Linked DNA regions of Coturnix japonica. The protein of the gene in region 2 purifies or fractionates together with the protein of the main gene of each other region. This does not show direct contact. Links are inferred from orthologs where the notes say so. Each region holds a gene or a part of one and is shown on either strand. Other genes may lie near its edges. The genes, in order: STX12, NSF, NAPG and SCFD1.

Region 1 (2,705 bases), on a different chromosome or scaffold from region 2:
TCTTTGCCCACTGGCTTCATGGTTGTCTACTGATGCATTACTGATCACAAATGAGGCCTCAGTAGGTTGTTTTGCTGTTCCAGATGTTGTAATTAGTAGGCACACATCTTGATATGCTGATGATACATCAGTGATCTGAGTAAATAGACTCTTGTCTTTGCCTTTCAGCTGCCTCTGATTTGCTGAGACAGTCTGAATTTAAGTCTGAAGATGAATCTAAATCTGGTCTAAATTCCCTTAGGTTAAATCTGAAAGTTGAAGAGACAATGCTGTCTCTGGACAGCAAATGCCTTTTTCTTCAGTATATTCCTGTTGATTTTGCTTGTTGGTAGTTCTGCTGATCTGAAATATTAACACCTCATTTATCTATTCCAGGCTGATGAGCGGTTCAGAGAAGAACAGCTTGTTTCATTTGATAGGTAAAGAATTGCATTCTTGCATTCTCGGGGCACACTCTTAACCTATGTGTAATTAAAATTGTTATAGATATATTGTATCTTGGACAACTCTTTTATAGCTGAATGAAAAACAGAAGGATGCTATGCAGCTATTACAGTGCTAATACACAGCATTTAGGAAAAGAAATGCATGACAGTATTTGACCCTGTTGAAATGTAGGCTGTCCCACTGGGAATAGTTCAGTCTCTGTTATATGATAATTGGCCCTCCTGGTGTTCTGGACTGTGAGCACAAGATTACCAGACGTATTTTCTGTCACATAACTCTTTCCACAAGAAAAACTCTTTACTTCTTTTATGAGTTTGGGTGTTATCTATGAGCCCAGATGGAGCCATTGTAAAGCAGTGGATGAGGCTGCTCTAAACTTGGAAGAAATAACAAATTGATACCAGAACATGCGTAGTCTACATCGATATAAAATATCAGACATATATATAGATTCTGCGGTAACTTTGTGCCTGCATAGCAGATGAGTTTGCAGAATGTTGCATCAGCTCTACAGTGTGAGTCAAGTGAACTCAAGACACTGCAGAAGCATTTGTGATTACTGTGTCAGTTTCCACTATGCATGCCTGAGAAATAGAGGATGAAGTATGTAGGCCTTATCTGTATAAACCTTGCAATGTTCTAACTCGAGGCACCTATCTGAAATGTCTCATCCATCCTCTCCTGATCAGTTGTTTGGTGTGTGTCCCCCTTTGTTAGTCCTGAGGTTCCACGTGCTGAGTCAGAAGTGAAAGCCCTATTTTGTTCAGTCATAAAGATGCTGTGATGAGTTTGAAGTCTTGCTCACTATTGCATGGGGTGCCACATAAATACCTGTTCATGCAGAGGCCCTCATCTCAGTGAGATGCAGTATCGTGCAGCAACTACTTTGCATTTAAAATTGTTCTTATGTGCTGCACATCAGAAACTTGTGCCCTAAACACCTGAAGATTCTCCTGTCAACTCAGCTGAATTCCTGAATGTCTCTGCTGTATCCCATCTAGTCAAGTAGTTTATTGTCATTTCTTTTTGCACTTGGAGCCTTTGGAACTTACTACGTAGAGTTATGTCACAACGTGCCTGTTGGGTATATTACAGTGCTTTCAGATACGTTTGCCTCCGAGAAGAAGAGGGAGATATTACCCTAGAAGAACTCTTTTGTGCTGGACACATAGATGACTTTGTACTATTGGTACTGCCTTCACTGTAATCAGTGTGTGTAACTTACGTGGCAGTTATGAAGTACTGTCATCAGGGTAGGTGTGCAGAGATTTTTCTAAACATCTCTCTTGATGTGTGACTTTAATTTGTAGTTCTTGCTAAATTAATGAATTAACATACTAAACCCTTTCTTCGTATCCCCAAATGGCAGATAGCAAGTGAGAATCTTAGAGCCAGGATGCTTGTCAGGTGTTCTTTTGATCTGATAATGTTGTGCTTGCAGGCTGCTCTCCATCAAGACTTTCACCCTGGTTGATTCCCCCCTTTTTGTGGGGGATGGTGAGAGGAAAGGAAGGTACAGATATTCTTAAAAAACAAACTTAAAAAAAAAAAAAACCAACCTGAAATGAGGTCTGTTCTATAATGCTATAGGTAATGGTCACATCCTAGCACAAACTATCCTATGCATGTACTGCTTTTCAGTTTCCTCACTTCTCTTGGTCTGTCCCCATTATTGTTCTCATTTGTAATTGTTGCCATAAGCCTGTAGTTGCAAGACTGGTGTTCTGTAGGAATCTTTTCAGCTTTAACATGCTGGTGATTCAGTGTAATTATAGTGAGAAAATATGCCTGTGCTGAAAGAAACAGTGTTTTACTATCCTTCCTTCCCTTCACAGTGGTGAAGACTGGAACCAAATGCAGTCTCAAGAAGAAGATGTGGCGATAACTGAACAGGATCTTGAACTTATTAAAGAAAGAGAAACGGCAATCAGGCAATTAGAGGTGAAGAGTAGATCCTGCGCTTATGTTAACATATAGTTAACAATATTAGGGTAGAAACCAAAGAATTCATGCAGTGCTATCTAATGGGATGGGCTGAGGAGACCTGAAGGTGAAGGAACAGTTCCTTGTAGAGAGGATTGATTCCAAGATAAATCTCCCTGCTCCAGTTTAAGGAGACTAGGTATATTTTCCTTCAGTGTTCACTGGTGGTCCTTCAGAGATGGTAGGAGTAACTCGTGACAGTGTTCATCTCAATTCCCTGCTCTGTTAGTTGCTAGTGGCATGGAAAAAATAATGAGCAGTGGGAATATTGCAAG
Region 2 (3,567 bases):
TGTATGTTTCAGGGGGAGTGTTATTTGATTTGTCCATGTAGGGAAAAATGTTGGATGTTGCTGTGCCTTCCAAGAAATGCCTTGAAATCCCATTTTTTAACCTTCTGAACAATCAGATGATGTAGGGCCCTCGTACTCCTGGGTAAAACCACATGCTGATGTAAGGTGCTGGTGAGGTTCAATGAAAATTAGGCTTGTTTTGGAATCTAAATAAATTTTTCATGATCTAATTGGAAAATTTCCAAAAGCCAAGGTGTAAAAGAATGAAAATCTTTTACCTCATTGCCAAGTTACTTAAAGTGGATTTTTGCCGTATCATCTTGCAGTTAGATGGATTGCTTTGCACAGATCAACTTCTGCCCCTTTTGTGACTAATCCTCTTTCTGATATCTGTAACTCCATGCAGGATTGTCAGCAGACTGCACAGATGGGATTAGCCTGTAATAGTGAGCGTTTGTGTGACACTCAGTGGGAAAGTTGCTTCATATCCATGTAATTCCTGATTGCTGCCTAAGGCAATCCATATTCTTGCAGATCTAGAAATAATCATGGAAAATGGAGCTGCTCCATAGTGTAGAGTGCAGCCACAGTCAATAATACATCTGAATTTGGGAGAAGCAGAAGGAAAAAGATGCTGTCTTCAATTTAGAAAGGAGAGCAATGTGAGCTAACTGTAGTGTGTTTATTCTAATACTGGTGGTACTGCATTGGGACTGAGGCAGATGAAGCAGAAAGAAATCTAATATTTACCAGTTGCCTTAAAGAGTTCTGTGTGTGGAGAGGAAAATGCTTTGTTTGAAGTTGCCAAAGAAGGAGTGGGGAAACGTGGTGTTGGGTTAAACCAAACTTTCTGAAATAAGTCACAAAATGATGGTTTCATCCCCTTTTTATACAGCACCCAGAATCTGCAATGAAGAATTTCTGCAGACTCTGAAGGGAGAGAGCAGCTCCTTACTTTAAAGGGAACCTACATAAGTTCTAGTCTCACCTAAGTCTAGATTAGGACTCGATGATCCTTTCAGGCTGCAGCTGAACTGCAGCTCTGGATCCTTGCATTGAAGTCGGTAAGGGGATCTTTTACAGTTGTGTTGTACTTCACTCTGTTTTCTTACCTTATTTAGGCCAGCAACAAAGTGGAAGTAGATATGGAGAAGGCAGAAAGCTTACGTGTGACAAGAGGAGACTTCTTTGCATCCTTGGAGAATGATATCAAACCAGTGAGTAGGCGCTGTGTAATTGGGAAATAGAATCACCCAGAACAGTTAACGATGCAAGGAAGCAAATTCCTTTTGTAATTAAAATGTTTAAGCCCCATTTTTGAGAATAGTCTTTATATGATGCAGATTCAAAACCCATGAGCAACTTTCACTGACTGAGGATGTCTGTGAAGTAAACGTTCCCTCTGTTAAAACAGGCATTTGGAACCAACCAGGAAGACTATGCGAGTTATATCATGAATGGCATTATTAAGTGGGGTGATCCAGTAACAAGGGTGTTGGATGATGGGGAGCTGCTTGTTCAACAAACCAAGAACAGTGACCGTACTCCGCTGGTTAGCGTTCTTCTAGAAGGTAAACTTAAGAATAATATCCATGCAAAAACAAACAAACAAGAACAGCCTTCTTTATACTGTTCCTATCAGTTGCCCAAGTGGTGATCTGTTATCATACTCCAGATTGATTTGGATTGGGTGTCTGTAAATTATACTGGTGTGAATTCAGGCAAATCATAAATCATCTTTGTCCATATTTCCTGGGCACTCAGGCTGTTCGTTCGGTACCTGCAGACATCATATCTTTAAGAGGCACAAACATGATTCAGAAATGTTCTGCAAAAGAGGAAGATGTGCTTTCTGCAGTGGCCCATCCTACAAAATGTGTCATTTTCTTTTTTGCCACTTTCATGGCAAATCAGGCTCTGTGTGCTCCAATAGTTGCATTAATTTCCTTCATCTGGACGATTGGATTGCACTGTTTTTTGTGCAAGTAGAAGAAAAGGTCATTTCATTTCTCAGATATTCTTTGAAAGAAGTTACAAGCATTTTAATACATCATTCATGCTGAGCCTTATCAGGCCCGTTTTCTCCCTTGTTTTTTTTCTAGTCGTATTTCTTTGTTTCAGGTCCCCCACACAGTGGGAAGACTGCTTTAGCAGCAAAGATAGCTGAGGAGTCCAACTTCCCTTTCATCAAGATCTGTTCTCCTGATAAGATGATTGGATTTTCTGAAACAGCCAAGTGCCAGGCTATGAAGAAGGTATTTCTGCACCCTTTCTTTTGATGACAATCCAACTGCTCCCTACAGTGGATGAGGAAGGGACTGTCCTGTGACTGGGCTCTCTGTAGGCCCTAAATTCCTGAATGTTATGAAGTTGAATGAATGTTTTTCATGCTGACGCTCAGTGACTCATCCTATGATAGTTGAGTGATTTAGCATTTACACAAGGACTGCTCCAGAAGTAGTGCCTCCTATATATTTCCATGGAAACTCCAACATACACGAAGAGCACAATAACACTGTTTCACAGAGCACATTCTCAGCTACAAAATTCTATTTTTCAACATAGTTACAATCTTTAACTACACATTTTCACCAGTGATGTGAAACTCTGTGGCGAAATCAGTAATGACACAAATTCTTCGAGCTTCAGGAAATCTAAATTTGCATATATTTGTTTATTTTGGTCAGTTGTAGTTATATTTTCAGGGTGCTTGATCGGGTAGACCCAAAAGAAGGCAAGGATCTTGCTGAAGGTAGCAGGTCTAAGCTTACAACTCACAGGCATTTCACTCATCTTCAAAAAAAACTTCTTTTGCTTTGCCCCAGCTGTGGAAATTCCATGTGGTTTATTTGAATAAAGTTTGAGACTCATCTGGAAGGGAAAATATCATGATTCTGGCCCAGCTGGTTCTGATGTGTAATCATCACTAACAGTGACACAAAACTCCAGATCATTGATGAGCAAGTCTGGAGCTCAGTCTTCCAGGATGAAAGCAGGAAGGGCTCAGGGCTGCACATGGAAGGAACAGATCCTGCCTGAATGAACAGTTTTGAGTTGGTAGGGTTTGTCTAAACAAGGGTTTTAACGACTTGGGGCACAGGGCAAATGCAGACAAGTTGAACTCCTTAAATCATTTCAAGTAGCCAGGTGGAAGGAAGGAGATCTAATTTACAGAAGCAAGCCAGCACTTATTTTTCTTCTAGCTGAATTATACTGGATTAGTCATGTAAATGAGGGATGTTACTCTAAGAACAGAGGAGCAGTTCATTGCAAGATTTGCATAGTTCATAACTTTTTCATTCTCTGTTTATTCATCTAAATACTGCTGTGCTTAGTTAAAAACAGATCAACAGTTCCTATCACAACTATTGTGTTTTTGCTGCTGAGATTTAGCAGTGACTCCTTTTGCTGTTTTTCAGATCTTTGATGATGCATACAAGTCCCAACTTAGCTGCGTTGTTGTGGATGACATTGAGAGACTTCTAGGTGGGTTGGGATGGGGGTCTGTGTTGTCTGCAACGGCAAACCAAAAATGATCTGGATCTGTTTACTTTAGGAGCCTCAAAT
Region 3 (4,255 bases), on a different chromosome or scaffold from region 2:
CATTCTGAATGCTATCCCTGTAAAAATTTGTCACACCGTGCCTGGGTATTTTTAAATACCAAATTCCAGTTCACAGGCAAGTACCAGATGCTGTGATATGATCCTTCCCAGATGTAAAATCTCTGGAGGTTCTGTGTCTACAAAATAAAAGCTACCCAGGAATATCCTATTTCATTTAATACTAGTCCTGGAAATGTGTTGTCTGGTCATTCCAGCATAAAGTGTAACCAGACAGTGCACGTGTGTAGCCTCACAAAAAAGTCAGCAGCTCTTTATAACCCAGGGAACACAGCTGGCCAGGAACACTACCACAAACAAACAGGAGAACAGGTTACTCACTGGGTGCTTCAGAAGCGCTCTCTGAGATTATTCTGCCTGTTAATGCATTAGCTTTATGATTTCTTTTTATTCACCTGCTACAAATGCTACCTTCTTTCCTACTTTGTTACAGAATACAGAATAATACATAACACAATGGGGATTTTCCACCATCTGCTATAGATAGCATCTCCAGGGTAGTGCAAGAACTAAAGTTAGAAGAAAAAAACGTCCATATCATCAGGGGAATGCTGGAAATGGTAAAGGATAGGAAAGCAATTCAGAACGGTGTAACTGACATGTACATAGCATTTTTTGGGTGCCCCAACCCTGGAGGTACTCAAGGCCAGGCTGGATGGGGCCCTGGGCAGCTGAGCTGGTGGGTAGCAGCCCTGCCTATAATGGGTTGGGGCTGGGTATGCTTTGAGGTCCCTTCCAACCCAAGCCATTCTGATTCCATATCAGCTTTCTGACATTTCAGATTATGAAAACAAGAAGTAGCAGAAAATCAAAATACGGGCAGCAATGCAGACCTCAGCATTTTCAGTGCAGTTACCGAGTGTATAACTTGTGGATCACTGTAGCCCACAGAGGCCAGAACACCAATCATTTCTCCTGCTTTGGATGAGAGATAAAGGCCTTGTCATGGCAGGGGAGGTTCAGGTTGGCCATCAGGAAACATTTTCTCTATAACATCCTGAAGGGAGGTTGTAGTGAGCTTGTGGTTGACCTCTTCTCTCGTGTAATCGATGACAGAACTAGAGGGAATGGTTTTAAGCTGCGCCAGGGGAGATTCAGGCTGAACATTAGGAAGTATTACTTCTCGGAAAGGGTACTCAGGCATTGGAATGCACTGCCCAGGGAGGTGGTGGAGTCACCGACCATGGGAGTGTTCAAGAAACGTCAGGATGTTGTGTTGATAAATATGATTTAGCTAGGAAGTACTGGTAACGGTTGGACTAGATGATCTTCTAGTTCTTTTCCAACCTTGATAATTCTGTGATTTCTTCTCAGAAAGAGGGGCACAGGTTGCTCATGGAGGAGCACCACACAGCGTCACCCTGAGGCAGTCACGTTACCAACAGCTGCCGTCAGCAGCAGATCCCGCCCCCCAAGATGGCGCAGGCGCAGTGAGAAGGCGCAGCTCTCATCCCCGCCCCCGGACGCGCCGTGAGCCCTGCGGCGTTCCGTAGCTGCAGTCACGATGGCGGCTCAGAAGATTAACGAGGCCCTGGAGCACATCGCGAAAGCGGAGAAATAGTGAGCGGGGATTGGGCTGGGCATGTCGGCAACAAGAAGCGGGCGAGGCCGTGGGCGCTTCAGCGTTCGGGGCTCCTCTCCTGCCCGCTGGGCTGGTGAGGCGGAGTGCTGTGGGAGATGTAGGCTGCCCGTGATCCTCCCGTGGGCTCAGCAGCTGCCGGCGACGTGACCTGGGCTGGAAAGGGAGGGCAGCGGGGGATATGGCCTGTCTGAGGCGGGGCTTTGGGGGTCTGTTTGTTTACGGGTGGCCTCAGTAGTACGGGCACTTTGCTTAGTGGGCCTAATGTCTACGTATGGCAGTTGGCAGGCAGCTTCAGAGGATGCTTCAGAACAGCAGTGTGTGCCAGGTGGCTTCTTTACGTTACCTGAGCACTACGCCTTTTGGTGGAATTCATTTTAACTCATTTCGTTACTAAGCATGTAATACATCTGGAGTGTCTGTGTCAGCGGCCTCTAGAGCTGTAGTTTTGTATGCATGCCTTTTTTTAAGGATATAAGTATAATACTGAGGTCAGCATTGATGACTCACATAATTCATGGAACCACAGAATGACTTATGTTGGAAAGAACCTCATATCCCACCCTGTTCCTTGGGCAGGGCTGCCACCCACCAGCTTAGCTGCTCAGGGCCCTGTATTTGTGTATGTGTGGGATCAGTAAGTACCATAAGCTGCTACAGACATATCAGGCTGTCTGATGTTTTAAATCTAAATGAAGTACTTCAGAGGTGAAACACAAAGGCGTTACTCGCTGTTAATAGTCCTTTCTTCTTACATTTTAGCTTGAAAACTGGATTCTTAAAATGGAAACCAGATTATGATAGTGCAGCTACTGAATACGGGAAGGCAGGTATGTGTGACTGTAAATATGGGCGCGTGCTTTATGGTTTTATAGTTTTTAAGCTTCATTTCCAATAATATTTTACTTAGTTTTAGTATATTCCTGTATAAGTACAACTGTTGCGAAGACTATAGTAATGAGGAAGATAAATGTTCTTAGCACTGTAAAATCTCAAGTTGTACTTGGAAGTCAATACTAATTGCAAAAAATTTATTCTTTTCAAGTTTACTGCTAATATGTTGAATCTTAATACATATCATAACATTAAAGCTTTCCTCTTTTCACTTGCCAACCCCCAAATCACATGATATTCCCAAATAACAAAAATTCTATTTGTTCTTAAAACTTTTTCACCATCATTTGGATTGCCTGACCTAAGAGAGTTTTAATAAGGTAGAGGCATTTTTAGTTTGTGGTGTAATTTCTTTTTCCTCTGGACACGGTAAGATTTCTTTCCTCCTTTCCTGTTAACAGGTGTCATACTGAATATGGAACTCTGATTTTTTTCTTCTTGTTAATAGTAATTTATACCCATGTACACTGGAAAGTGTACAGATGAGTCTTGAATGTCTCCAGAAAAGAGGACTCTGTGACCTCTCTGGCCCTCCTGTTCCAATGCTCTGTCACCATCAAAGTACAGAATTTTTCCAATCTCATGTTTTGATGGGATTTCCTATGTTCCAGTTTGTGCCAGTTGCCTCTTGTCCTATCACTGGGGACCAATTGGGTGGCTAATTCAACCCTGTGGTGGGATTTTCTGGCTACAATTTAGCAAGCCATTCAGTTTGTCTAAAGTGCCTGCTTGCGTGTTTGGATGATTGAATACTTTAGCAGATGTGATTAAAAAAAGAAAAGGCAAGCTGTAAATGAGAACTTCATCTTTGGTTTCTTGCAGCTGTTGCCTTTAAGAATGCCAAGCAGTTTGACCAGGCAAGGGAAGCCTGTTTACGAGAAGCTGAAGCACATGAAAACAACAAAGCGTATCTTTTCATTACTTTTATTTTCCAAGAAGTTACTTGCTATTTAGAATTGAGTAGTGGATTGAAAAATTAATATCTTTGCTCATGTTGTCGGTCTAAGAAGGTTCTCTTTCAAAGGACTGTGTGCTGTGAATAGGAAAGCTGAAGACCTCTTGATTAGAAAATCTGTTCTGAGTGATATACAAGCACAGAACTGTTTGAGTTGGCAGGACCCTTAAAGGTCACCTAGTCCAACTCCCTTGAAATGAGTAGGGACACATCAGGTTGTTCACAGCATCCTCCAGTTTGTTCTTGAGTGTCTCCAGGCATGGGACATCCACCATCTCTCTGAACAACCTGTTTCAATGCCTTATTATCCTTACTGTGAAAAACTTCTCCCTTACATCCGATCTAAATCTCCCCTTTTTCAGTTTAAAACCACTTCACCTTGTCCATTTTCAACAGACTCTGCTAGAGTTTTTGTCTTCTTTGTTCTTAAAGTCCCTCTGTAGATACTGAAAAGTTGCTGTCAGATCTCCTTGGAGCCTCTTTTTCTCCAGGCTGAACAGCCCCAGATCTCTCAGCCTGTCCTCATAGGAGAGGTGTTCCATTCTCTGGGTCATATTTGTGGCCCTCTGTGTGCTCTCCAACAGGTCGGTGTGTCTCCTGTACTGAGCACTCCACACCTGGATGCAGTACTCCAGATGAGGTCTCACCAGTGTAGAGTAGAGGTGCCTGAAATGCTTATGTACTGCATTATAAATTTATATAAGCACTTTTAAGTATCTATGAATGGATAGTATTAACTAAATGTGGCTAACAATACAGTGCTTGTGGTAACATTTGGTAACCAGGGAGCATTTTTTAAATAAATGTAC
Region 4 (4,012 bases), on a different chromosome or scaffold from region 2:
TTTTTTTTTTTTAATTATCTTAGTGTATATGGAAAAGTAATAATCATAATATTGCTTGTTTAAAAAAATAAAAAAAAAATTTAAAAAAAAAACAAATGAGTTTTGTACTTGCATAAACTGTTTAAAAGTTATTGTTGTTAGAATGTTATGCAATTAATTAGAGCTGTGTAAAAACTTAAAACTCCAATGCAGTCAACTGCAGAATCAGTGCCTGAAGTGCTGCAGCTTCAAGCAATGTTGTATGTGACAGATGTAGCATCAGTGTTGAAATACTCAATTGTGGGAGACAAATGTCGTGTAAATGTTTGAAAGTGCAATAAAGAGTTAATACAACGTGGTAATTTAAATGTGAATCTTTGCTGCTTTTCTTTTGTTTGGTGGGTTTTAGTTCTAGAAGTGTTGTTGCTATTTCCTTCTAGTTGCGCTAGCTTTTGCTCCGTATGCTGAGTAGGTTGCTCCCAAAGTAATGCCTCCTGTTGATTTCTGTGGGGGCTACAGCAGATAAAAAGAGTACAATTAATGCTGTTTGGTAGAGCAAATTGTCTGCTACGAAGCACTATTTTTTGACATAATCACCACCATTAGCTGTGCATTTTTGCTAGTGGTGAAGAGGGGCTGCAGTTCTTTCTGCAGGGAGAAATTCAGTGATGCACCTTTGACTCCTGTGCCCTTCCACGTCAGAGGCCGTTTTGTCAGACCTGCTGCCATCTGCTGCACAGCAACAAAATGGAATGGAATATTGGTGGGAAAGTTCAGCTGCTGCCAACTCAGCATCCACCTCTGACATCATAGGCCAACATAATAAAATGGGAGGTGTTACTTTTGGAGCAGCCCTCGTAGATGGTGCACATTTACCCTCAAATCTCTGTCAGTTTCAGCTGCACGGGGCTATTCCTCCTCAGTGCTTTCTCTAAACACAGAACAGCTGAGAGCATAGTAACTACTAAAGACTGCAAAGAGCAGAGATGCACAAACGTAGTCAGTGCTGATGAATTTATCTTCGCCAGCTGCCGTCCCCAGGTGGAGACCTAATTGCCTCACAGCTGCCCGGTTGCAGTTTGTGCACGCAACGTGCGGGTTAGACAAAAACAGGTGCAGCCTCTTCTTGCCTAAAAACTTCGGTTTAAGGCCGAAAGCGACGTGGAAATCGCAGCCCCCCAGGAGCTGGCGGCCGCAAGGCGCTCGGACCCATCTGGCGCCGCCCAGTAACGGCTCCGCCCCGCCGCTGAGCCGGGCCGCCACGTCGGCGGTGTGTGCGTGCGCGGCAGGGGGCGGGGAGCTGCGCCGGGCTGGCGGCGAGGCAAAATGGCGGCCGGTATCAGGGAGAAGCAGATAGGTAAGCGGTTCCTATGGTTTCTATTGCGCTGTGAGGCCGCTGTTCTGCCTGCAGTGGGAAAAGAGCGCGGTGGATCTCAGGGTGTATCTGGGGGCTCTTCTGGGAGCCTGCTTTCCTCCCCTCCTTTTCTCTGACGGCTCCTTCGGGCGAGATGAAACCCGGGCCGCCTCGGTCCACCTGGGGATCCTCGGCCGGTTTGTGTCGCTCGGCGGCGGCTTTCTCCTACTCCCAGCCCCTCTCGCCGCGGTGTTCCTCAGCGGTGGGTACGGTGTCGGGACCGGGGCTCTCCTGCCGAGGGGCCTGGCCTGCCGGGCCCGGGGAACACAGGTGCCCAGGGACGCGGCCGCAGGTGCCGCCGCGATGTGGAAATCAGCCCCGGGGTGGGGCTGCGCGGCCGGGAGGGGAGCGGTGTCCGTCTTCGTGGGACTGGGCTGTGCTTTCCTTTTGTTCGGCTTCCTCTGTGCTGTGGGAAGGGTCAGCCAGAAACGTCGTTTAAAGGTGAAAATGTAAAACAACTGCTTTGTTGCCCCTGTTTAGACGCTACTGAGGTCCTGGAGTTGGGGGTTGGACTCGATGGTCTCTAGAGGTCCCTTCCAACCCCTTACAATTCTGTGATTCTGTGGAGTGTTTACTGACCTTTAGGAAATTACGATTGTGATATTACCAACTCAGGCTCCCTGGGGGAGGTATTCTGTGGGTAAAAGGGTTGTTTACTCAGTCCCTCCTTATGCCCTGCTGAGTTTGTAATTGATTCCTTCATTTCCCTCTTGCTGCTGCTCTGTACAGGGGCGCTGAGCCATCCATGTGAACATACCCCTAAAGCACAGAGTGTGTCAGCTCTGTATTCCTGCTCACTTCACTGAGTTTTTGTCTATAGTTTTAATTGCAGTCTTGTCATCTTCTCGTGACAGCTTCTTAGAGGATTCTGGGTGCGTTCATTTAACACAGGATACCTATGGTCATCTGCTTAAAAGTCTCATCCCGAGTCTCTTTTTTTGAACTTAATGTTTTACCAGCTTTTCTGTACCATAATTATATGTTCTCTGATCACATTCCACTGCCCATCTACCACTGATGGAACTGATTCATGTTCCTTTACAGTACTTTTTCTCACACTTACACCTTTCTGATAAAGCCCCTTGTTATTGAGCCTTTATTCCCTGTGACTTTATTCGTTTCTCTTTCACTGTTCTCATCCTCTTTCAGTCAGCGTTTATACCCATGTTGTCTCCTGTTGGGGCAGTCACTAGCAAGGAGGTAGCTGGAAACAAGAGGTATTCAGCAGGGTGAACACTGCTCTGTGTGTGTGTCTGTTGTGCTGTGGCCCTGCTCCATAATCAGAGTGTATTGCTGTGCCCCACTGTGAAAACCCTGCCCTTGCCCCATAGAGTTTTTGGCATAAAGTGGAAGAGCAAGAACAGAAAAGATAAGCAGCCAGTACATCTCTAGGTTTTGTGATGGTCGCAGCATGTTGGTAGTCTGATTACAATGTCTTGCACCTGGGGCTGGCAGCCCCTGCTATCAGTACAGTGTGGACAACAAAAGGATTGAGCATAGCCCTAACAGAATGATCTTGAGGGTGTCTAGCAATGTGCTTTTGCAGTTGAGTGCATCTCGACTGTATTAAAAGAAGTAATAGTTAGCAGGTTAAGGGAGGTGATCCTGCTCCTCCACTCTGCATTGGTGAGACCTCACCTGGTGTACTGTGTCTTGAGGTGGAGTCAATACAGGAGAGACATGGTTCTGTTGGAGAGCATCCAGAGGAGGGTCATGAAGGTGGTCCAAGGGATGGAAACCTCTCCTGTGAGGCTGGCTGAGAGCTGAGGCTGTTCAGCCTGGAGAAGAGAAGGCTCTGGGGAACCTGATAGCAGCCTTTCAGTACATGAAAGGAGCTATAAGAAGGAATGGGACAGCCTCTTTAGCAGGCTCTGTTCTGATGTGACAAGGGGAAAGGGTTTCAGAATAAAAGAGGGGAGATTTAAATATTTCTTTTCTTCATTGTAGGGGGTTTGGACTAGATGGGTCCTTTCCAATTCAAATTATTCTATTATCTGCTTCTGTTTATGAGTAAAGTGGATTACGTAGCCCTGATTTCTGAAAGTTTTTCTCTTTGCAAAATCCTATGACAGTTTTGTTTATGGATTTGGAGAGAATTGCTGCCAGCTTATACCGATGCAATTTATTTTTTCACTTTTTGCCACAGTGCATGGTGTATTTAATCAGGTGCATGGTGTTTAATCGGATGAATGAGGAAGGGCTCCTTAGGAGCCCTTAGAAAGTGGAGGTAGGTGAAAAATAGGCCTTGTTTTGTGTATTGAATGTGAAGTTAAATGGATACACATGGACAGAATTTTCCTGTTGCAAATTAGGGGTGCTTTCATGCTCCCTTATGCAGCAGTTTCTTATAAGTGCTGAAAATGTTGTAAAAAATATGTGTCAGCTTTAGTCAGTCAGAGAGGTATTGCTGTGTGGTATCCTGTGTGTGTGGTGTTGTTCTGATCAGGTAGGATGAAGCACAATTACAGTAAAGCAGACTAACTTGTAGGATACAAAACAGACTCTTCAGGAAGAGTCTGAAAAGAGTTTTAAGGCAAAATTTAGTAGAATATAGCCCATGTAATCAAAGAAAGAGATTCTTCATGTTTTAGGACTCACATGTTTAATGTCTGTTGTTGA

Evidence for each region.
Region 1: the proteins of NSF (region 2) and STX12 purify together in Homo sapiens (co-immunoprecipitation; 4 studies listed by BioGRID and IntAct, with this or other methods). This does not show direct contact. The link is inferred for Coturnix japonica from reciprocal best matches to the Homo sapiens genes NSF and STX12.
Region 3: the proteins of NSF (region 2) and NAPG purify together in Homo sapiens (affinity purification with mass spectrometry; 3 studies listed by BioGRID and IntAct, with this or other methods). This does not show direct contact. The link is inferred for Coturnix japonica from reciprocal best matches to the Homo sapiens genes NSF and NAPG.
Region 4: the proteins of NSF (region 2) and SCFD1 purify together in Homo sapiens (affinity purification with mass spectrometry; 3 studies listed by BioGRID and IntAct, with this or other methods). This does not show direct contact. The link is inferred for Coturnix japonica from reciprocal best matches to the Homo sapiens genes NSF and SCFD1.

Annotation. Positions count from the first base shown.
Region 1 is NC_029538.1:1,335,460-1,338,164, forward strand, and holds part of STX12 (syntaxin-12), read left to right. Parts: intron 1-375; coding exon 376-419; intron 420-1,888; coding exon 1,889-1,960; intron 1,961-2,282; coding exon 2,283-2,388; intron 2,389-2,705. UniProt on the Homo sapiens protein: SNARE promoting fusion of transport vesicles with target membranes. Together with SNARE STX6, promotes movement of vesicles from endosomes to the cell membrane, and may therefore function in the endocytic recycling pathway.
Region 2 is NC_029542.1:649,189-652,755, reverse strand, and holds part of NSF (vesicle-fusing ATPase), read left to right. Parts: intron 1-1,121; coding exon 1,122-1,217; intron 1,218-1,414; coding exon 1,415-1,571; intron 1,572-2,121; coding exon 2,122-2,255; intron 2,256-3,419; coding exon 3,420-3,486; intron 3,487-3,567.
Region 3 is NC_029517.1:88,361,066-88,365,320, reverse strand, and holds the start of NAPG (gamma-soluble NSF attachment protein), read left to right. Parts: upstream 1-1,432; 5' UTR 1,433-1,522; coding exon 1,523-1,578; intron 1,579-2,359; coding exon 2,360-2,427; intron 2,428-3,313; coding exon 3,314-3,398; intron 3,399-4,255. UniProt on the Homo sapiens protein: Required for vesicular transport between the endoplasmic reticulum and the Golgi apparatus.
Region 4 is NC_029520.1:31,000,657-31,004,668, reverse strand, and holds the start of SCFD1 (sec1 family domain-containing protein 1), read left to right. Parts: upstream 1-1,208; 5' UTR 1,209-1,305; coding exon 1,306-1,336; intron 1,337-4,012. UniProt on the Homo sapiens protein: Plays a role in SNARE-pin assembly and Golgi-to-ER retrograde transport via its interaction with COG4. Involved in vesicular transport between the endoplasmic reticulum and the Golgi.